Nothobranchius furzeri: one gene and its partners. The protein of the gene in region 1 interacts with the protein of each later gene in a pairwise test. Links are inferred from orthologs where the notes say so. Each region holds a gene or a part of one and is shown in the gene's direction. Other genes may lie near its edges. The genes, in order: tnika, myt1la, trim2a and dpysl2b.

What was found.
Region 2: the proteins of tnika (region 1) and myt1la interact in a two-hybrid assay, tested with the Homo sapiens proteins (2 studies listed by IntAct). The link is inferred for Nothobranchius furzeri from reciprocal best matches to the Homo sapiens genes TNIK and MYT1L.
Region 3: the proteins of tnika (region 1) and trim2a interact in a two-hybrid assay, tested with the Homo sapiens proteins (2 studies listed by BioGRID and IntAct). The link is inferred for Nothobranchius furzeri from reciprocal best matches to the Homo sapiens genes TNIK and TRIM2.
Region 4: the proteins of tnika (region 1) and dpysl2b interact in a two-hybrid assay, tested with the Homo sapiens proteins (2 studies listed by BioGRID and IntAct). The link is inferred for Nothobranchius furzeri from reciprocal best matches to the Homo sapiens genes TNIK and DPYSL2.

Annotation. Positions count from the first base shown.
Region 1 is NC_091758.1:22,722,413-22,727,180, forward strand, and holds part of tnika (TRAF2 and NCK interacting kinase a), read left to right. Parts: intron 1-324; coding exon 325-431; intron 432-719; coding exon 720-822; intron 823-991; coding exon 992-1,141; intron 1,142-1,221; coding exon 1,222-1,321; intron 1,322-1,423; coding exon 1,424-1,594; intron 1,595-1,670; coding exon 1,671-1,814; intron 1,815-1,921; coding exon 1,922-2,056; intron 2,057-2,285; coding exon 2,286-2,386; intron 2,387-2,504; coding exon 2,505-2,654; intron 2,655-4,768. UniProt on the Homo sapiens protein: Serine/threonine kinase that acts as an essential activator of the Wnt signaling pathway. Recruited to promoters of Wnt target genes and required to activate their expression. May act by phosphorylating TCF4/TCF7L2.
Region 2 is NC_091742.1:17,091,888-17,097,453, forward strand, and holds the start of myt1la (myelin transcription factor 1-like, a), read left to right. Parts: upstream 1-1,936; 5' UTR 1,937-2,070; intron 2,071-2,155; exon of another isoform or gene 2,156-2,275; intron 2,276-4,100; 5' UTR 4,101-4,192; intron 4,193-5,552; coding exon 5,553-5,566. UniProt on the Homo sapiens protein: Transcription factor that plays a key role in neuronal differentiation by specifically repressing expression of non-neuronal genes during neuron differentiation.
Region 3 is NC_091744.1:16,885,424-16,890,941, reverse strand, and holds the start of trim2a (tripartite motif-containing protein 2), read left to right. Parts: upstream 1-2,008; 5' UTR 2,009-2,143; intron 2,144-5,518. UniProt on the Homo sapiens protein: UBE2D1-dependent E3 ubiquitin-protein ligase that mediates the ubiquitination of NEFL and of phosphorylated BCL2L11. Plays a neuroprotective function. May play a role in neuronal rapid ischemic tolerance.
Region 4 is NC_091746.1:40,589,137-40,592,791, forward strand, and holds part of dpysl2b (dihydropyrimidinase-related protein 2b), read left to right. Parts: intron 1-147; coding exon 148-304; intron 305-391; coding exon 392-533; intron 534-618; coding exon 619-789; intron 790-1,741; coding exon 1,742-1,921; intron 1,922-3,232; coding exon 3,233-3,398; intron 3,399-3,655.

The DNA of each region.
Region 1 (4,768 bases):
GGTACTTTTGCTCAGTATTTAAAAATTATTTAAAAAAGGATTTTTTTGTCCTTTCCTGAAGATTAGTCTTGGAAAAGGGGGTCGTCTTATATTCGGGTCAATAAGGTACTAGCGCATTTTATTTGTCTTTATGAATTTAAGAGTTTTTGACACAAGATTGCTTCCGCACATTTCCTCTGGTCATTAGAGACGTTTGTTCTAAGCACTGCCACATTGGCTTCAGTTTTCAGACATGGAGGTCACGATCAGTTTAAAACTGCTTTAAGCAAAATTTCTCCACAAACTAGCATTACTTTTAAGTTGACTTAGGTTTTTTGCTTTTAGGTAACAGATTACTCATCCTCAAGTGAAGATTCAGAGAGCAGTGCTGAGGATGGCGAGATAGTGGGGCATGACGGCACTGTTGCTGTCAGTGACATTCCTCGGATCATGTACGTTTTCCATTCTTAGTTTCCCTGTTTCCTTGTCAGTTACTGCTTGTCTTTTACATATGGCTTTGTTTGGAATTTGAACCATGCTAGAAGCTTGCCTGTATAGCTTACGAAGAACTAATTTATCAATGATCTTTGTGTGTGTGTGTGTGTGTGTGTGTGTGTGTGTGTGTGTGTGTGTGTGGTTGTATGTGTGTGTGTGTGTGTGTGTGTGTGTGTGTGTGTGTGTGTGTGTGTGTGTGTGTGTGTGTGTGTGTGTGTGTGTGTGTGTGTGTGTGTGTGTTTCAGGCCAGCATCACAGAACAGTGGTGAGGTGTATGGAGGGCTGGCAGAGGACGCTCTGGGAGATGCTTATAATAGCTCCAAGGACGGGACACTGGTGATGAGAGGGGTGATGAACGTGAACACGCTTACACACTCAGCCTCAACCTTACACACACACACACACACACACACACACACACACACACACACTGACAGGCTACATTAATCTCAAGAGAGGCCCAGCTCATGGGTTTGTTTACATTTTGCTAAATCTCATATGATGCCTTGTCTTTCAGGTTGAGGAGAGGAGGAGAGGGAGTCTCACTGAAAGTAATGGCTTTGGAAATCACAGTAACCATGGTAACCTCCCTGACCTGGTCCAGCAGAGCAACTCCCCCACAGCCACACCCACTTCTGCTCTGCAGGAATTGAGAAACATGGGGGAGGTCAGATCCTGACACGTCCTGCTTGTGCACATTAACTGTGTTGGCGTCTGCTGAGCAGTTTTATTAACTTCTTTTTGCAGTTTGGTCTTGGTGGGTCCAAAGCATCATTCACCCCATTTGGTGATCCACGGGTTTTCCAAACGTCTCCAGGTGAAATGGATGATGAGAACTCAGCAGCAGGTGGAGTTTTTGAGTTATTTTTCTGCTAAATCAATGATGGGTGATAACATTTGTTAAAGTATGTTCTTTTTTTTTTTCTTCACCTTTCCTTTCTAACCGTAGCCATGTTCGCCAACGAGCTGCTGAGGCAGGAGCAGGCCCAACTAAACGAAGCCAGAAAAATCTCAGTGGTGAACGTTAATCCGACAAACATCAGACCTCACAGTGACACACCAGAGATCCGGAAATACAAGAAACGCTTCAACTCGGAGATCCTATGTGCTGCACTCTGGGGTAAAATGAAAAATCTTCCTCATTCTCATTTTCATTTTTGCATTCTTGTTTTCTTTAATGCGTTTTGTGCTTTTAGGTGTGAACCTGATGGTGGGGACCGAAAACGGTTTAATGCTGCTTGACCGAAGTGGACAGGGAAAAGTTTATAACCTTATAACCAGACGGCGCTTCCTACAGATGGATGTTCTGGAAGGACTTAATGTTTTAGTCACCATATCAGGTAGATAAAACCTCTCTGATTGGATCGTAACACACACTTGTGTTTATTTTAGTTCAAATACATTCCGTGTGTACCTAGATTAATATTTATGTCTCCTCTTTTCTCAGGGAAAAAGAATAAGTTACGAGTGTACTATTTGTCCTGGTTGAGGAACAGAATATTACACAACGACCCAGAAGTTGAAAAGAAACAGGGTTGGGTTACAGTTGGAGAACTGGAGGGCTGTTTGCATTATAAAGTTGGTAAGAAAAACTTCAGCAAAGTAAATAAAATTGTAGGCTTGAATTTTTTATCATTTAACTAAAGGCTGTAAAGATTTTATGATGCTTTTTAAAGATATCTTCACGTTTCAAACAGAAAACCAAGTATTTAGAAATTCCCTCAGAATGTATTTAGGCACTTAAATGTATCATTTGAAGAATTTAGAGGTTTAAAACCTGCTCTTTTTGTGGGCTTTTGTCATGTTTCCAGTTAAATATGAAAGGATAAAATTCCTGGTGATTGCACTTAAGAACGCTGTGGAAATCTATGCGTGGGCACCTAAACCCTACCACAAGTTCATGGCCTTTAAGGTACAAAAACCTCACATATAAACACGTTTTTTATGTCTAGCATCAGAAAATAATGCTTTAAACTGACAGTTTCAAAAGTTTCTTTTAGAAAAACATTTCCACTCTTCTCTGATTTTAGTCATTCGCTGAGCTGCAGCACCGCCCTCAGCTGGTTGACCTCACAGTGGAGGAAGGTCAAAGGTTAAAAGTCATCTATGGCTCCAGTGTGGGCTTCCATGTCATCGATGTGGACTCCGGCAACCCTTACGACATTTATATCCCCTCTCATGTTAGTATTGGTCTTTGCTTTGTAGCTTTAAGACAGTTCCTTGATTAATTGCCATGCAGCTAAAGGACTAACATCAAATTTAACTTTGCACCTGATTTATTTTTATTTTTCTAAATGTTGTGTTTGGATCAACTATGTAGAGCAGAAATACAATGATGTACTCTTGTAACAACGGACAAAGCATACCACGTTGGGCTTTGGATTGTAGAAAGAGCTCATAGGATGAAAGAAATTTAACTTGAAGACCAAGTTCACAGAGAAAAAAAACACATTTTTTGCGTGTAACTTTTGAAATACGATCAGTCACTCTGAGTTTCACATGCAGGCTAAATGTGAAAGGAGTCTTGCTACAAGTACTTTACACCCAGGCTGAATATAAAAATGGTCTTCTACCCCTATTTCCTGCATTAGGCGTCAATAGAAAATAGATGAAGGAATGCTTGGATTTGAAAAGCCTGTCAATTTTAGGTCACATTGTGAAATTTACATTCAGGGTCTCACCCATCTTGGCTTGCGACTTGAAGGGCAGTTGTTGTTATAGCATCCGAGAGAAAGCAGAGCACCTCTTGGCTAGTAGAAGCTAACTGTTGGCAACCATTAGCATTAGCAATGTGACCGAAGTCCTTCAGGCTTGTGTTAGTTGTGGAGATAAAACATCAGTGTTGCCAGTGGCAGAGTCGTGTTGCTGTTGGACAATCAGAAGTGAGATATCTAAAACTCCAAATCCTGCTGTCTGAAGCTCCCCTCTGAGCGCCAGAGCTCTTTTTCCCCACAAAGATTGACTCACAAGGCATTTGTTTTATGTTAGACCACTGAAAATGTGTTTTAAAAAAGTGAACTTGGTCTTTAAAGCAATTCAGTCATTTTCCTGATTTTGTGGAAATATTTCACCAAACAAAGACTGAATGGAGATGTGAGTGTTTAAAGGAATCAAGCATTAAACCCTCTGATCTGGCATGAAAGGTTTTCTGTTTCCTTTAAGTAAAAGGTAACCTGATTTCTAAAAGATTTGTATAAGAAATTTTGGTAACATTTTGGATCTAAATCTTGTTTGGAGAGCTGGACCCTATTACTGTAGCCTGTGCGCTATGGCTATTTATCTAGAAGTACTCTTATGATTGTCTATTATGAATTTTGAGGTTCTAAAATACTCGGGATGTAACGTTGCACGTATTCATACCACGGTGCAGACGTTAGGGATGGGCAGCAACCAGACAAAAAATACATTAGTCACTATTCTCTTCAAGAAAAGAGCACATCATTCTCTATTAAATGCAGTTTGTGAACTGACACAAGAGAAAAGACGTAAAGATCTCTAAAAATCGTTTAAAGCAGTGACTAGTTCAGAGGACACACCTGTGTGGAAAAGTTTTATAGTCCCGATTCCTGGCAGCAAGTGAGACAATGGAAGGTGGAGTTATGAAAAGCCGTTAACATTTTTGTGCACTGCAACTCTTCAGTAACTCATTAATGATAAATTATGTAGGTGTGACTGATGCATGCTGTACCACCCTCAATAAAATTTAAAATATGTTCTGCCACTAGCTTCAATAACCCCATATAATGACTGATCCACCTCTGTGCTTAACAGTTAGAACATTTTCAAAGACTCAAGTATATATATATATATATATATATATATATATATATATAATATCTATCTATCTATCTATCTATCTATCTATCTATCTATATATATATATATATATATATATATATACATACATATATATAATATCTATCTATCTATCTATCTATATATATATATATATATATATATATATATATATATATATATATATATATATATATATATATATATATATATTCATCACTTTTCTATTTTTGTCTGTAAAATTCCACAAATTAAATTGAAAAAGAAAACAACCTGCTGGTGAGAATGTTACAAAGTTGCCTTTTGGAAAGCCTTTAATCGTGCTTAAAAGAGCACCCACACCATTCCATGTCAGTGTCAATAAAAATGAAAGCTCACTGTTTCCACCTTTCATCCATGCCTGTTTTCTCTCTCTCCCTCCCTGCCAACCTCTCCTCCGATGTGCCAAACAGATGAAGGTGACATGCTGCAACCGCCCCTGTAGATTAGACCACTAAAT
Region 2 (5,566 bases), on another chromosome or scaffold:
CCGGTCTTACTGTGAGACCGGGTTGACGCGTCACGCTTGCGCGTAATCATATCGGCGCTTTCTGAGCTGAAGATGTCAGATTCTGGGCTTCTCCTCAGACGGCTCATGAATGCGTTGCCAAATTGGAAACAGGAACAAGCACTATTCAGCCAAAGTTTCATAATCAGGGAACATTTTCTAAGTGACAAGTCTCTCTGAGAGACGGGGTTTGGAAAACCCTCGCTTCAGTGGGAGGAACCTTCACGCATGCGTTCTGGTTCTGCGATGTGCTCCAAGCCAATCTCCACAACTTCAGCTCGTTGTGCACATATGCGCTGACAGCAAGCTGCGCTGAGCAGCTCAGATGTTCAGATGGGAATCTTTTAGCTACATCTGCAATGTGCGTAATGAATAAAATGTCAGTTCGTCTGCATGCGTCGGGGTAATTCTTTCTATTCTTTCTCCGTCAAAATAAACCGTCAAATACGGGAACTATCCGGTCAACACAAGCCCTGCTTTAGACTGTTTTGTGTTCTTGTGAAAATTGTTGGAAAGAGATAAAATTTAACTTGATTACCACCAGAGCCAGTGCGCCGTCATCTCCGTGATGGTAAATGAGGGAAAAACAAATTGATCGGATCCTGCAGGTCTTTTAACACATTGGTCAGGATTGATGCACTTTGTTTTCATTTAGTTGGTTAAAAAAAAGTCGGGCTCGGGTCGGGCCAGAGAATCCTGAAAACCTTTTCGGGCCGGGTCGGGCTGGGGCTCCACCCCCTCAGGCCGGGCCGGACACGGGCTCAGATTTTAGGCCCGTGCAGGGCTCTAACATCAACTATTAAGGATGATTTTGTATGAATTTTTGAAAATGACATAATTGTATTGACTGTATTGCATTAAATACAAGTTTGCTTTAATATCTGAGGATTTCTACAGTAAATATGTCTGAAATCTGGCACACAGGTACAATAGGTGTCCCAGAGTAGGGATGTGGTGAAAGTTGGACATCAGCTATTAAGGATGATTTTTTAAGAATTTTTTAAAATGACATAATTGTATTGACTGTATTGCATTAATTACAAGTTTGCTTTAATATCTGAGGATTTCTACAGTAAATCTGTAGGGATGTGGTGAAAGTTGGACATCAGCTATTAAGGATGATTTTTTATGAATTTTTTAAAATGACATTATTGTATTGACTGTATTACATTAATTACAAGTTTGCTTTAATATCTGAGGATTTCTACAGTACATCTGTCTGAAATCTGGCACACAGGTACAGTAGGTGTCCCAGAGGAAGGATGTGTTGAAAGTTGGACATCAACTACTCTTGATGATTTTTAATGAATTTTTTTAAAATGTGGTACCGTAAAGACTGGTGTAGAAGCGCAAGGAAATTTATGTGGCGGATAAGATGTGGCTGGGTTGACCGCGGCTCACAAATGACGGCCCACTTGACCATTGAGAGAGGGGCAGGAGTCAAATAGTTGTCTCCGCCCACCTCTAAATGTTTGACCCCACCCACATTTAGCCCTGCCCTGATCTCCGGGAGGCAATCAGGGGTAGTGTCCCGCTCTGGCCCGCTACTGGCCCGGTCGGGGTAGGGTTCCTGCACTGGTTCAACAATCGAAACAAAATATTTAGCGACCCGATCCTTCTCATTCCATGCCAGTTTGGTTGGTGGAAAAGGCCCATAATATAACCCTAACCTGGGGGAGGGACCTCCTTCTCGTCCACCAACAGGTCAACAGGAAGCTTTTGATGGTGCTGAAGGATTTGCAACTGCAGCACGTCTGAACTAAAATCAGGTTTAAAATGAGTCAGATGACGGCTGATGAACCGGCTGCTGGTGACGAAGCAGGTGGAGCAGATGCCCGTGTTTCCATTCACATCTGAACAATGAGACAGGTTTTATTCCAGCACTGAGCGGCTGCTCGTCGCTGCACACAAAGAGAGAGGGAGAGAACGTGCTGAGTTCATGCGGAGGGGGGGCTGCGCCTCCTGCTGCGTCTCCGTTAGACGCGTGGACGAGTCGACGTGCACGTCCTTGTGAAAATAGAAAAGCCAGGAGAAGAAGGAACATACAGAGAGGTAAAACCATTTCCTTCTTCTTCATTTGCATCTGGAGCATCTTCATCACACAGCCCTCTCTCCCCCTCCTCCTCCTCCACCTCCTCTCCATCGCTGAAGCCATGGCCACTCATCACAAAGACGGAACAGAAAGGAGACCTTGAATATCGGAGGCTTACACTTTTGGAGGAGGGAGGAAAAGGAGGCTCCATCTTTTGACATTTCGGTACGCTTCTTCTTTTTGTGTCATCTTCCGCTTTCGTACCAACATCCTTCTTCTTCACCCGTCTCTCCTCCATCACCTTCTCCACCACCCATCTCCATCGTTCTCCAGCTGTTTGCAGCTGCAGTCGTCCTGGTTCTGGTCCCAGGTCCGTGTGAAATGGAGGGAACTTTCTCTCTGGTTTATTTGGACCTACGCAGGCTGTCAGCTGCTCTGTCCGAGTCTTTGACCCTGTTATTTGTTGTTGTGAAGCTCTGCAGCGAGTCCTGATTCTGTAATGTGATTGGATGATTTATCAGGTAAGTTTCTGGTTAGGGTTCCATAGCTGTGTATGTGGAGACAACAGGGATCTGGTGAAGCAGAACCCTCACAGCTGGTTTAGACCTGATGATGTCAGGAGGAAACATCTTCATGATGTTCAGCTGACAGTCTAACTATCATTTGAAGTGTCAAAAATATTTAATAACAATTTTATTTGACTTCTAATTGTCTATGGGACATGTGGGTGGTTACCATGGTGACCCTCAGGAGCAACTGGTGTTTACCGTGGTGACCTTGATGAGCCACGGATGTTACCATGGAAACCCTAATGAGACATTGAAGCTGTTTCTCAATATGCGTACTCATCTGACCTTGTGTACCGACGTCCTTGTGAAACGCCATCAACGATGGCCCAAGTACGCATCACAGCAAATTCACTCAAAGTTTTGGGATTTGTTCTTGCTCCACCCATGGTATCCAGGATGCATCGATGCATCCAACAGCAAAATATCCCATAATGCATTGCCTCACAAGCTGTTGTACTCCAAACACCAGAGCAGAAACCCTATAACTGTAGTTTCTTACAACAGAAACATATAAAACAATCCAAGTTGTCTGTTACTGTGTGTAAGCCGTAAAATTTGCTGTGCGTAACTTATTTTCACACTTCACAATCCCTCAAATAGCTAATTAGCTAAAACCCTATCAAAATAAAAGCAGCACTGCTCTTTTTTGAGGAAAAAGAATCTTTTTTTCTTCATTTAACAGGAAATGCTGGATGCTTGATGAAAATAGACCAAGCATTATATAAATATGCATTCATTGTTATTTAAGGGACAAAGTGAACTTTAATTGTTGTGTCAGGTCATTTTGTAACCATAGCAACAGGCAGCGCTTGTTGCCAGGACAGAGCGGAGTGCGTCCTCATTCTCCCGTCCTCAGTAGAACGGACTTTCTGGTTTCCCTGCCAAGAACACACGTGTCTGGTACTGAGAAACGGCCTGATGCTGCTGTTACCATGGCGAGCCACGTCAAACTGAAAAACCTTTCCTTACATTCCTCGTGGACCATCTTTAGGGCCTTTACCTGCTCCTGTGTTGCTCAGGTCACTTGTTTGCTGATGATTCAGTCTACTATGTGAAACTCAGGAGTTTCCACACGACTTTGACAGATTACAGTGTTGGTTTGCTCAGAATAAACTTTTCATGCTTTTCCAGAGAAATGTTTCAGATCAGGCTCAACAGGCCAGCTGGATTCTGGGTTTTGTTGTGCTGATGAATTTCTTCTGCTTCTTTGTCCATCCCTCCATTTCCGCCCCTGCCTTGGCGAAAGGGTTGGAGCCTTGTTTAGATCTTTAGCAGGAATCCTGCAGGAAAAATTGAGCATGCTTGGTGGAGCCTCAGCCTGGAAGCATCACTAAGTTAGCTGATAGTTTATATTTGTAATAAAGTTGAAGACCAGTGGATCTTAGTGAGAGAGTGTGTGTGTGTGTGTGTGCGTGTGTGTGTGTGTGTGTGTGTGTGTGTGTGTGTGTGTGTGTGTATGTGTTCTCCTCTTGTCTCTGTAGGTCATGGCCTCTGAGGGGTTGTTTGTTTGAACTATCTTCAGTTTGAAGACCAGCAGCAGATTGAGGCGGAGCCACAGCAAAGTTACGAGCAGGTACAACTACACGACTCCAACCTGCAGTCTGACTGGATCACTGATGAGAATGCAGTTCTCCGAGTCAGCTGATTGGTCCTTTTAGTTCAGGGGTGGGGAACCCTGGTCCATCGAGGGCCACTATCCAGCATATTTTAGTTTCAACCCTGCATCATCACACCTGATTTCAATCAGCAGGTGACTAACAAGCTTCTGCAGAGCTTGATGAGCAGAGACATGCAGGATACCGGCCCTCGAGGGCCAGGGTTCCCCATTCCTGTTTTAATTGAACACCTGAGAAAAAAACCTCCCATTTAACAGTTTTCCGACTGGATTATCGTCTCTGTGGCGTGAATTTGGGGCCAGTTCGGCCGTCACCATTCAGTGTTTGTTGCCTTTAGAAAAACACACCTGCACATGTTTGTTGTTGACTCCAAGTAGAAAGACCAAATTCTTCAGAGTGGAGCAGCTGCCGTAACCAAACCCCGCACCTTGAGACACGTGGGCGTTGTTGGGACCAACAGCACCGACGACACAAGTAGGGAGCTACATAGAGGGCGGTGCCAAGGACTTATGACCTTGGTGATCTTATAGGAAATAACAATGACCTCATCAGAAACTCCTATTGTCCTGCCTGTACTGTACATCTCCTTTAAGCCCCATGAGATGTCTAAGCTGCAGCTGTTACACACCTGCTTAGACTCTATCAAAAACTGGATGGCTGGGAGCTTTCTACAGCTGGATGAAGATAAGACTGAGATCCTCATCTGTGCCCCAGACAAGCTGGTTCTCAAAGTCAGAGACTCTCTTGGTCAGCTTGCTTCTCACACCAAACCTTTCGTCAGGAATCTTGGCGTGACCTTTGACCCAGCTCTCACCCTGGATTCTCATGTCAGTTCTCTTGTTGCCTCTTCCTTTCACTGGTTGTGCAGTACCAGGCTATAGGTCAAAGGTGACAGATTATCTGCTGCTGTGGCCCCCAGACTCTGGATCTCTCTCCCCCGGGTTTGGTGGGACCTTCCTCACCTCCCTCTCCTGGTTCTGCTCTTATTCCACCTTTCCCGGGATCCACTGGTTGCTTCTTCATATTTCACTTTCTCTTTCCTCACATATTTTTAATCGCAATTTTTTATTTTTCTCATTTTTATGATACTTTTAATTCTCTGTCATGTGACACTATATAAAAGATTGTTTTCTTTCTTTCTTCTGTCAGTATGTTGATTTCAGACCACACCCCATAAGTTTCCTACTTCCAACCCGAGTTTCAGAACTGAAGAAGCTTCTAGGATAAGCGATGAGACGTCTTCAGAAAAACCAGATTCGTCCAGTTGTTTCCAACTAAACATTCAGCACACTCTAAACATTTTCCTTTTTCTTCCAGATGGAGATTAATGT
Region 3 (5,518 bases), on another chromosome or scaffold:
AGGTGTTCTGGATTCATGAGGTCATTAGAGTGTGACACTTTGAGTCTAGAATATTGAACCTTTTCACAATATTCTAACTGTCTGAGATTTTGAATGTGGGGTTTTCATAAGTTGTAAGCCAGAATCCTAAACAGTTTCGCTGATATTTTTGATGGCTAGATCATTTCTCTAGCATCCTCTCCAGAAGAAGAAAAGAAGAAGAAAATGTCTTTTCTATAGCGCCTCTCAAGATAAAAATCATGAGGTGCTTCACAAAAACAAAAAATGTAAAAATATAAAATGAATTTAGAAATTGGTTAAAAATATATTTAAAATGAGCAAAAAATAGACAATTGTGATTAAAAAAAGTTAAGAAAGAGAGAGAGTGGATAGGAAAGAGGGAAATCAGTGGATCCTGAGGAAGGTGGAATAGGTGGGGAGAGCAGAATAAAGAGAGAGTGGTGAAGAAGGTCATACAAAAACCAGCTTGAACAAGTGAGTTTCAGCTGCTTTTTAAAGGAGACCACTGAGTCCACTGATCTCAGGCTCAGGGGGAGAGAGGTCCAGAGTCTGGGGGCCACAGCAGCAAATTATCTGTCACCTTTGGTCTTTAGCCTGGTGCTGCACAACCAGTAGGCTTTGATCACTGGACCTCAGGGACCTGCTGGGGGTGTAGGGACTAAGAAGATCACCAATGTAAGATGGTGCTTGTCCATGTAAGGCCCTATAGACCAGAACCAGGATCTTGAAATGAACCCTGAAGTTGACTGGCAGCCAGTGAAGCTGGAGGAGAAGCGGGGTGATGTGGGTGTGTTTGGAGGACTTGGTCAGAAGCCGAGCACAGGCATTCTGAACCACCTGTAGACGGTTCAGGGAGGTTCTGCTCAGACACGTGAAAAGAGAGTTACAGTAGTCTAAGCGTGAGGAGATGAAGGTGTGGAGAACTGTCTCAAGTTCAGAGCGGGACAGAATGGGACTCAGCTTAGCAATGTTCCTGAGATGGAAGAAGGAAGAGCAAACAAGAGAACTGACATGAGAATCCAGGGTGAGAGCTGGGTCAAAGGTCACGCCAAGATTTCTGACGGAAGGTTTGGTGTGAGAAGCAAGCTGACCAAGAGAGTCTCTGACTTTGGGAACCAGCTTGTCTGGGGCACAGATGAGGATCTCAGTCTTATCTTCATTCAGCTGAAGAAAGCTCCCAGCCATCCAGGCTTTGATAGAGTCTAAGCAGGTGTGTAACAGCTGCAGCTTAGACATCTCATGGGGCTTAAAGGAGATGTACAGTTGGATGTCATCTGCATAAAGATGGTAGGAGATTCCTTTGAAGGAATCCTCTCCAGCTGCTGTCGTTTTTGATATTCATCTTTAATCTGCATGATAAAACTTTATCCATCCTTTCTAGAAATTGGTCATATGCAGACATTGCATGGCAGCACTTACACAAAGGCGATCAGCAATGGTCACATGGTGCTTGTGTAAAGAAAAAGTTGAGGCCAAAGTAAAACAAGTGCCACTAGTGGATGCCTGCGCTAAGTCCCGCCCCCTTCCAGAAAGGAAATGAGACGTGTCCTGATGTTTTCCCAAAAGCAAACTAGAGCTCTGATAACAGCAGCAATTTGACACAAACTTTTAACATTTTTCAATATTTGTTGCAAACATGTTGAAAATACGACACTTTTCTGAAATTTGGGGCAACATTTAATAATTTACATGATCTTTTTTTTAAATTGATATTAAAGCTATTCCCATTGAAAAACTATGCAGAGAGCCAGACCCACCACATTGAGCCTTTTTCTCTTCTTGAATAATATAAAAATTATAAATAATAAATAAACCCAGAGCCTATTTTTACACGTTTGTGTAATATTTATAAGGTTTCTCCTGTCTGAGTGCCTTTTCTCTGCCCAGACCGGATTAGCCCAGATTACATCCAGCTCGTTGCTCTCCTAGCTCTTTATTGTGGGCAGGTCCCTTTAACAAGTGAAGGGGAAGTGGTTGGAGGCTGGTCTCAGATCAGCTGGAGGCTGTCACTGCAGAGCAGCTAACAGGTCAGCTGGTGGACATGAAGCAGTGCTAAACCAGGAAAATCCCTCTAACTGTCACCGAGTTTTAGAGTTTCTCCTGGTGTAGTTGCAGATTTTATTTCAAACAAGACTCCTTTGAGGTGAGTAAGAACTATTTGATAATGGCATATATGCAAACTTATCTAATCAGCTGAATCCAGAGTGGTTTGTTGTGACGAGCTGCTCTTACATGATGAGTTTTGTCATCAAGCAAAAATGTGGCTTTATTTATTATCTAAAGGGGGAGAAAAGTCTTGTAGCTGAAGCATTTTCCACACTGCAGGAGTTTGTAGTTTTATGGTGTCATGCACTAATCTGCATCAGAGGTTCTGGTCCATTCTGACATGACAGCATCACACAGCTGCTGCAGATTTCTCGGACCCCCATGAGGTGAGTCTTCCATTCAATCACATCCACAAGTTCTGGACTGGATTCAGATCTGGTGACTGTGGGGGTCACTGGTGTCTGCTATCCCGCTGGAAGTAGCCATCAGAGGACGGGTCCAATGAGGCCACAACTTGAGTCAGCTCTTGGGCTCACACGGGACTAGGTCCAAAGTGGAACCAGAACATCTCCCTCCCACCATTACACTGCCAGCAGCTGCATGGAGCATTCATACAAAGCAGGAAGGATCCATGCTTTCACGTTCGTGACACCAAATTCTGACCCACCCATCTGAATGTTGCAGCTGAAATCCAGACTCGTCAAACCAGGACACATCTTCTAGTCTCTTCTGGTCCAGCTCTGGTGATCCTGTGCGAATTGTAGCCTCAGGTTCCTGTTCTTAGCAGAGATCTTCTGCTGCTGGAGTCTGCTCCATGTTCATCATGCTGTGGTTCCGAGATGCTTTTCTGTAGACCATGGCAATATTCAATCGCTATTTGAGCTCTTTTTCTTTGTCAATCGCCGTGAACCTGTCCGGCTGTTCTCCTCTGACCTCTGACATCAGTCAGGCTCTTATAGACCCTGTAGATGGTTGTGGGAGAGAATCTCAGCAGAACAGAAAGCTATGACATACTCAGACCAGTGTGGGCACCAACCATGCAGAGTCGCTTCAGTTTTGTTTCTTCTTAATGCTGATAGCAAGTTAGAACTTCAGCAGGTTTTCATCATGTCCGCATGAATGCATTGAGCTTGTTCTTGTGTGATTGGCTGATTAGCTGTTTGCATTAAAGATGTGATACACTGAAAGACCTTTTTTATTATTTCTGATTAAATTTGGTCAATCTGAGTTTTTCGTGCAAGCTGAACATGAAAACAGTCTCCTACACCTATCTGCTGCATTAACTTCTGATAGAAACTAGAGGATGAATCTCTAGGGTTTGAAAGGTTTGACAGATATGCATCCCACTGTCACTTAACATTCATGGACTTACCCATTTTGACTCACAACAGGGAAGGCTGTTGTTGGTTTAGCATCCAGGAAACAGCAGAGAACGTCTTGGCTATTAGAAGCTAACTGTTTGCATTAGCAATTCCACCACATGGCAGAACTCCTTCAGGCTTGTGTTATTTGTAGAGAAAATATGTCAACGTTACAAAGCAAACAGTTAGTGGTAGAGTCGTGTTGCTGTTAGCCAATCAGATGTGAGATGTACGGAATAAGACTCCAAATCCTGCCATCCTCTGCTCCCACCTTCTCTGGCTAACTTCTGCTTCCTGAAACAGGATCGCCAGAGTTTTTTTTTACCCCACATTGACTAACAAGGCATTAATTTATCCTAGAGACCACTGAAAATGTGTTGGGAAAAATGAGTGAACTTGTTCTTTAGAATTCCATGATTTATGAAGGCAGCTTCTTTATTTAGTTAATGTGATGTTTTAGTGCAGCTCAGTGAGTGCTGCTGAGACTGATGCAGTAGTGGCTGCATCCCTGTGCTGCTGCAGCAGCGGTGAACATGTGGGAGGCGTTCTGTGCTGATCAGGAAGTGTAGCAGCTGCTGAGATGACTCAGTGCTCTGGAGAGATGCAACATGCTCCCTTCTCCGGATGAATTCTGCAGTTTTTTGATTATATCACAGTCAGTTAGTTTTGTGTGAACACAATGCTTTACTTTTCATATTTTAAATGCACTGAGTAACCCGCTGCCTTTCTATACTTGCATTTATATTGTTTTTTTAATATTTTATGACAAAATCAACTCATTCCATGTACCTCAGTGCATAACTCCCACTGGTTAAGCTTTGGTGTGTGTTCGACACACGGCAAGGATTTGTTATTTTTGATTTTTTTTAATAAACTGAAAGGTATTATTTAAATAATTAAAAATCCTGCACAAGAGTTTTCTGACCACCTTCCCTGCATCCGAACATAATCAATACTTAGCAGTAGGCTTCCCATCACCATCTGATCACTCTGACTGATAAATGATGAGTCTTTCCATTGCCTGTGGGGTATTGATGCTGCTGTTTGACCTCTCAGGATCAGCGGGTTATCATCGGTGAGCTCTGCTGGAGTTCTTCCATGGTGACATGTGATGTGGTAAAGCTTAATTAATGCTGGGTGTCGTCCAGCTGAGAGCATCTCTGACTGTCTGAGCTCAGGGATGGATTTGTAAACGGATTTAGTTGACAGTCTGAGGATGAAAAAAGCCCAGTAGGCATGGATGTAGATTATCCAAAAATGTCAATCTGCCAGAAATTAACATCTTGTTTTTTAAAACACTACTTTAGTTGAATTCATTGGGGTTTCAGTTCAGTTCTCAATTCTTTTCTAGAAAAGTTCATATAACTTTCACATTACAGAGATTTAAGATTTCATGGTAATTCCAGGAGAATTGTTGTGAAATGTAGCTAGATACAAAGCTATTTTCTGCTGAAATTACCACTTAATAAGATTCATGATGGTGTAAATGCTTCTAATATGTGTGCATGAACTGTTTCAAGCATTTTTCAGATTGGAGCTGTGGCATCTCAGACACGATGAGTTAAGTGGTGCAAAATTTCTCAAAAGCTAATAGTAGCAACTAAATTCTTCAGTGATGGATACAACCTGACTTTGATCAATATTAAATAAACTCCATAAAATAACAACCCTGCAAACTAGAAATGCAGTTCTGTATACATGTAATTCAAGAATGCAACACTGGATGGCAACACACTACTATTCCAAAGAACATGAATGTAACATGTGCTATTTTTAATTCAATGATCTGAGTGAAAATGTTGTGCCCCATTGCAGTCTACTGCACATTTTAGATGTTTATTATTTAAATAAACACAGATGGGCCCCGGTCTCTGGTTCCTCAGGAGGATTTAAAGGGATACAAAGCAGTTTTGGCTTGCTTTTAGCACCCCCTAGTGTCTGTTTGTAAAAATCAAAGTAAAACTTGTCTCCTCGCTGTGTGTTCGTCTTTTTAACACCTTAATCTAACAGCTGAATTATCTTCTCAGCCTTCATTAGTGTCTACAGGAGTGAGTCATCACAAAATCAAGCAAATCCGCTGTGTTCATGATCTAAAACATGCAGGAAATGCG
Region 4 (3,655 bases), on another chromosome or scaffold:
TGGAATGCCCTGAGAAAACCTGTGCATCTGCATTTTTTTGTTGCAGAAAGACATTTACAGGTGTCTTTACTTAGTCCTATTATTTGTTCCTCTGAACATTTCAAATCTTAATATTTTATAGTATCTAATGTTCTGTTGGACTTTCAGGTACCGTGGTCTACGGAGAGCCCACCACTGCTAGCCTGGGAACAGACGGGTCCCACTACTGGAGCAAGAACTGGGCCAAGGCTGCAGCCTATGTCACCTCCCCTCCCCTCAGCCCTGACCCGACCACACCGGACTATCTCAACTCGCTGCTGTCCTGGTAAAGCTTTGATCCAAACCCTCATGTTAGGAAAACTTTGTCTGAGAGAAAACACTCAAAACAAAGTCCTCTCCACCATCTTTACAGTGGTGACCTGCAGGTGACAGGAAGTGCACACTGTCCCTTTAACACAGCTCAGCGCGCCGTGGGGAAAGACGACTTCACCTTGATCCCTGAGGGGGTCAACGGCACCGAGGAGAGGATGTCCATCATCTGGGACAAGTCTGTGGTACATGTTCACACAGACCGTAAGATAAGTCCAATTATCTGATTCAAGGTCAGCGATCCCAACACACAGTTCTGATTTACTCCAGGTGACGGGTAAGATGGATGAAAACCAGTTTGTGGCTGTGACCAGCACCAACGCCGCCAAGATCTTCAACCTGTACCCCCGCAAGGGGCGCATCGCCGTGGGGTCCGATGCAGATCTGGTGCTGTGGGACCCAGACGTCACCAAGATCATCTCCGCCAAGAGCCACAACTCGGTACAGCCTCCTGTGACTCGAGTGTTAGGCTTAGAGGAGACTCTTGCACAGGGCGTTGGTCTCACACAGCATCCAGGGAGTGATGTCATTCATAAAATCTGCCAGAGCTCAAACACATCATTGTCTGATTGTTAGCAGACCAATCGCTGTGTCTGTGTTCGCTCTGGGAATGTGTTCACTTAGTCCTGTTCTTTGGTTTCTTCTCATTTCATGGAGGAAATTGCTCGCTGCCAGTGTGTGTGTGTGTGTGTGTGTGTGTGTGTGTGTGTGTGTGTGTGTGTGTGTGTGTGTGTGTGTGTGTGTGTGTGTGTGTGTGAGTGAGAGAGGGAGAGAGGGAGAGAGTTATGGGATAGCCTTGTCTGCTGGTGATCTCATGTTGGGCTGTGGAGTTTGCCAGATTGCCATGACCTCAGCTTTAACTCCAGTAGCTTTTAGAAAGAGCAATTATAAGGCCTCCAAAAACACCCAAACCCCTCTGAAGACTAATCTTCTTCATCCTCTTCATCTGTTAGCATTTGGCCAAAGGGAACACTGTAAAATACATCAGCTCTGTACAATTTTTACACTTGTTTCTGCTGCTTTTTCTACATGTTTCAGTCCAACAATGTTCCACTGCTGTTTGGCAGATAATGCATGAGGGAGAGATTCATAAATCTTATTTGGGGGGTGGGGGGGGTGGAGAATGTGCATGGCCTTACATCATCCTGATGATAGAGGAAAATCTGTCTGGAGGATGTGAATCACCAGATCTCTGCTTTGAAGTTGTTTCTGTTCTGATCTGTTATGGTTTCGAGCATGCTGACTCTGAGGAGGCAGTAATAAAACATCACAGGAGTACGTCTGCCAGACAGGAACTTTAATTCTAAAAATCAGCATTGAAAAACCATTTTTACACTGGTGTTGGTTTGGTTAGGGCAGCACTGTAACATCACCGCTCTTGTTCTGCCCTCAGACTGTGGAGTACAACATCTTTGAGGGCTTGGAGGTGCGCGGCGGTCCCCTGGTGGTCATCAGCCAGGGGAAGATCGTCTTGGAGGAAGGAAACCTCCACGTCACCGAGGGTTCGGGTCGGTTTGTGGCCCGCAAACCTTTCCCTGACTACGTCTACAAGAGGATAAAAGCTCGCAGCAGGGTGCAGTAACTAGTTTCCTCTGCTTTGATGCTCTCTCTTCAGATTGCTACTGCTGAATGTCAAAGTGTGTTAAACTGGATTCAGGCGGTTGGACTTTTAGACTTAAAAACGCCACAACTTACATTTTAAAATTGGTTTGACTTTAAATCGTCTCACAAAACAGCTTCTAACAGGCTGTATAAAACTTAAAGTGACAGTTGAAATCCCACCTGTTTTAGGTTAGGATTGGTTTTCAGCTAACAGCTGGTCTGAACACAGCTAATACAAAGTGGATTACTGTCACCCTAGAACAACTCCACTCGTGGTTTTTCTGGCAAAAATATTCAGGGTTTCTAGCTTAGCAGCTTTGTTGCAACACTCACTGAGTTTATTTGACCTGTGTAAATCACACGTGAAACTCTAAATGGTGGAAAAGTCCATTTATTTCAGTAATTCACCTTAGACTGAGAAACCATCTAAAGGCTCAGGAACCCTTTAATGTGTTCTGGATTCATTAGTTGATTAGAGTGTGACACTTTGAGTCTACTGAACTTTTTCACAATATTGTAATTGTCTAATATTCAGAATGTGGGGTTTTCACCAGCTGTAAGCCATGATCACCACAATTATAACAAATAAAGACTTGGAATATCAGGATTTGCATAGAATGAGTGATATGTTAATTTCACTTTTTAAGTTGGATTATTGACATAAAAGAACTTTTGCACCATATTCTAATTTTTTGAGTTTCACCTGTATGCCAATGTCTTTTCGAGTCGGGTTTGCAGGTCCCAAGTCCTGATAAAGTTTAATTAAAATTGTGACACACAAAATAAACGAAGGAAAAAAAAATTAGGAGAAACATTTCCTTTTGTAGTTCTTAACTTACTTAGCAATTTGTACTCACGTTTTGTGTCTCCTATGACATTATTCCATTATTGTATACTACAGCATCCATTACCATTAGATACACAACGAATAATGCAAATTAGTTTATGGTGTCATTTACTGACTTCTAGTCACTTTTAGGATAGAAAGTAGCAACGTTCTTTACTGAGACATTAGCAGCACTAATAGCCTGTTATGCTAGTCATGTCAGATGTCCTTCTGTTAGCTGTTGCTTTACAAAAATTACATTTAAACCTTTGTCAGAAACCTGCCTAATGAACTAATTTAGTATATATATATATATATATCATAGTTATTTGCATCGGCTAGCAGTAACACTTCCAGTGAGCACTGCTGATGTAAATATTAGGCTATTTCTGCTGGAATAAGGAAACAAAAAGGATGCAAAGATTTTTACCGTGTGTTTTATGTCCCATGATGCAGATGGCTGAGCTAAGGGGCGTGCCCAGGGGTCTGTACGACGGCCCGGTCTGTGAGGTATCCATCACTCCTAAAGTCATGACTCCTGTCTCCTCCGCCAAGACGTCTCCTGCCAAACAACCCAACCAGCCTGTCCGCAACCTGCACCAGTCTGGGTTCAGTCTGTCCGGTCAGCCCCAGAACCATACTTCTGTTATCCATAATCAATATCAGTGTTTGTTTACCTTCTCCCTGTTGTCAGGAGAAACTAAAGTGGTTTCTGTCCCTCATGATGTAGTCACTCATCTGGCAGTTCTAGTTAGAAGTTAATCAAATTAGGATTTTTGTACAAAACATGGAGAACATTCATAAATGAATGAACGTTATATCAAAGCAAAGACATTTCTGCTTTTTAAAGACAATATATTTATATTACATAGAAAGCCA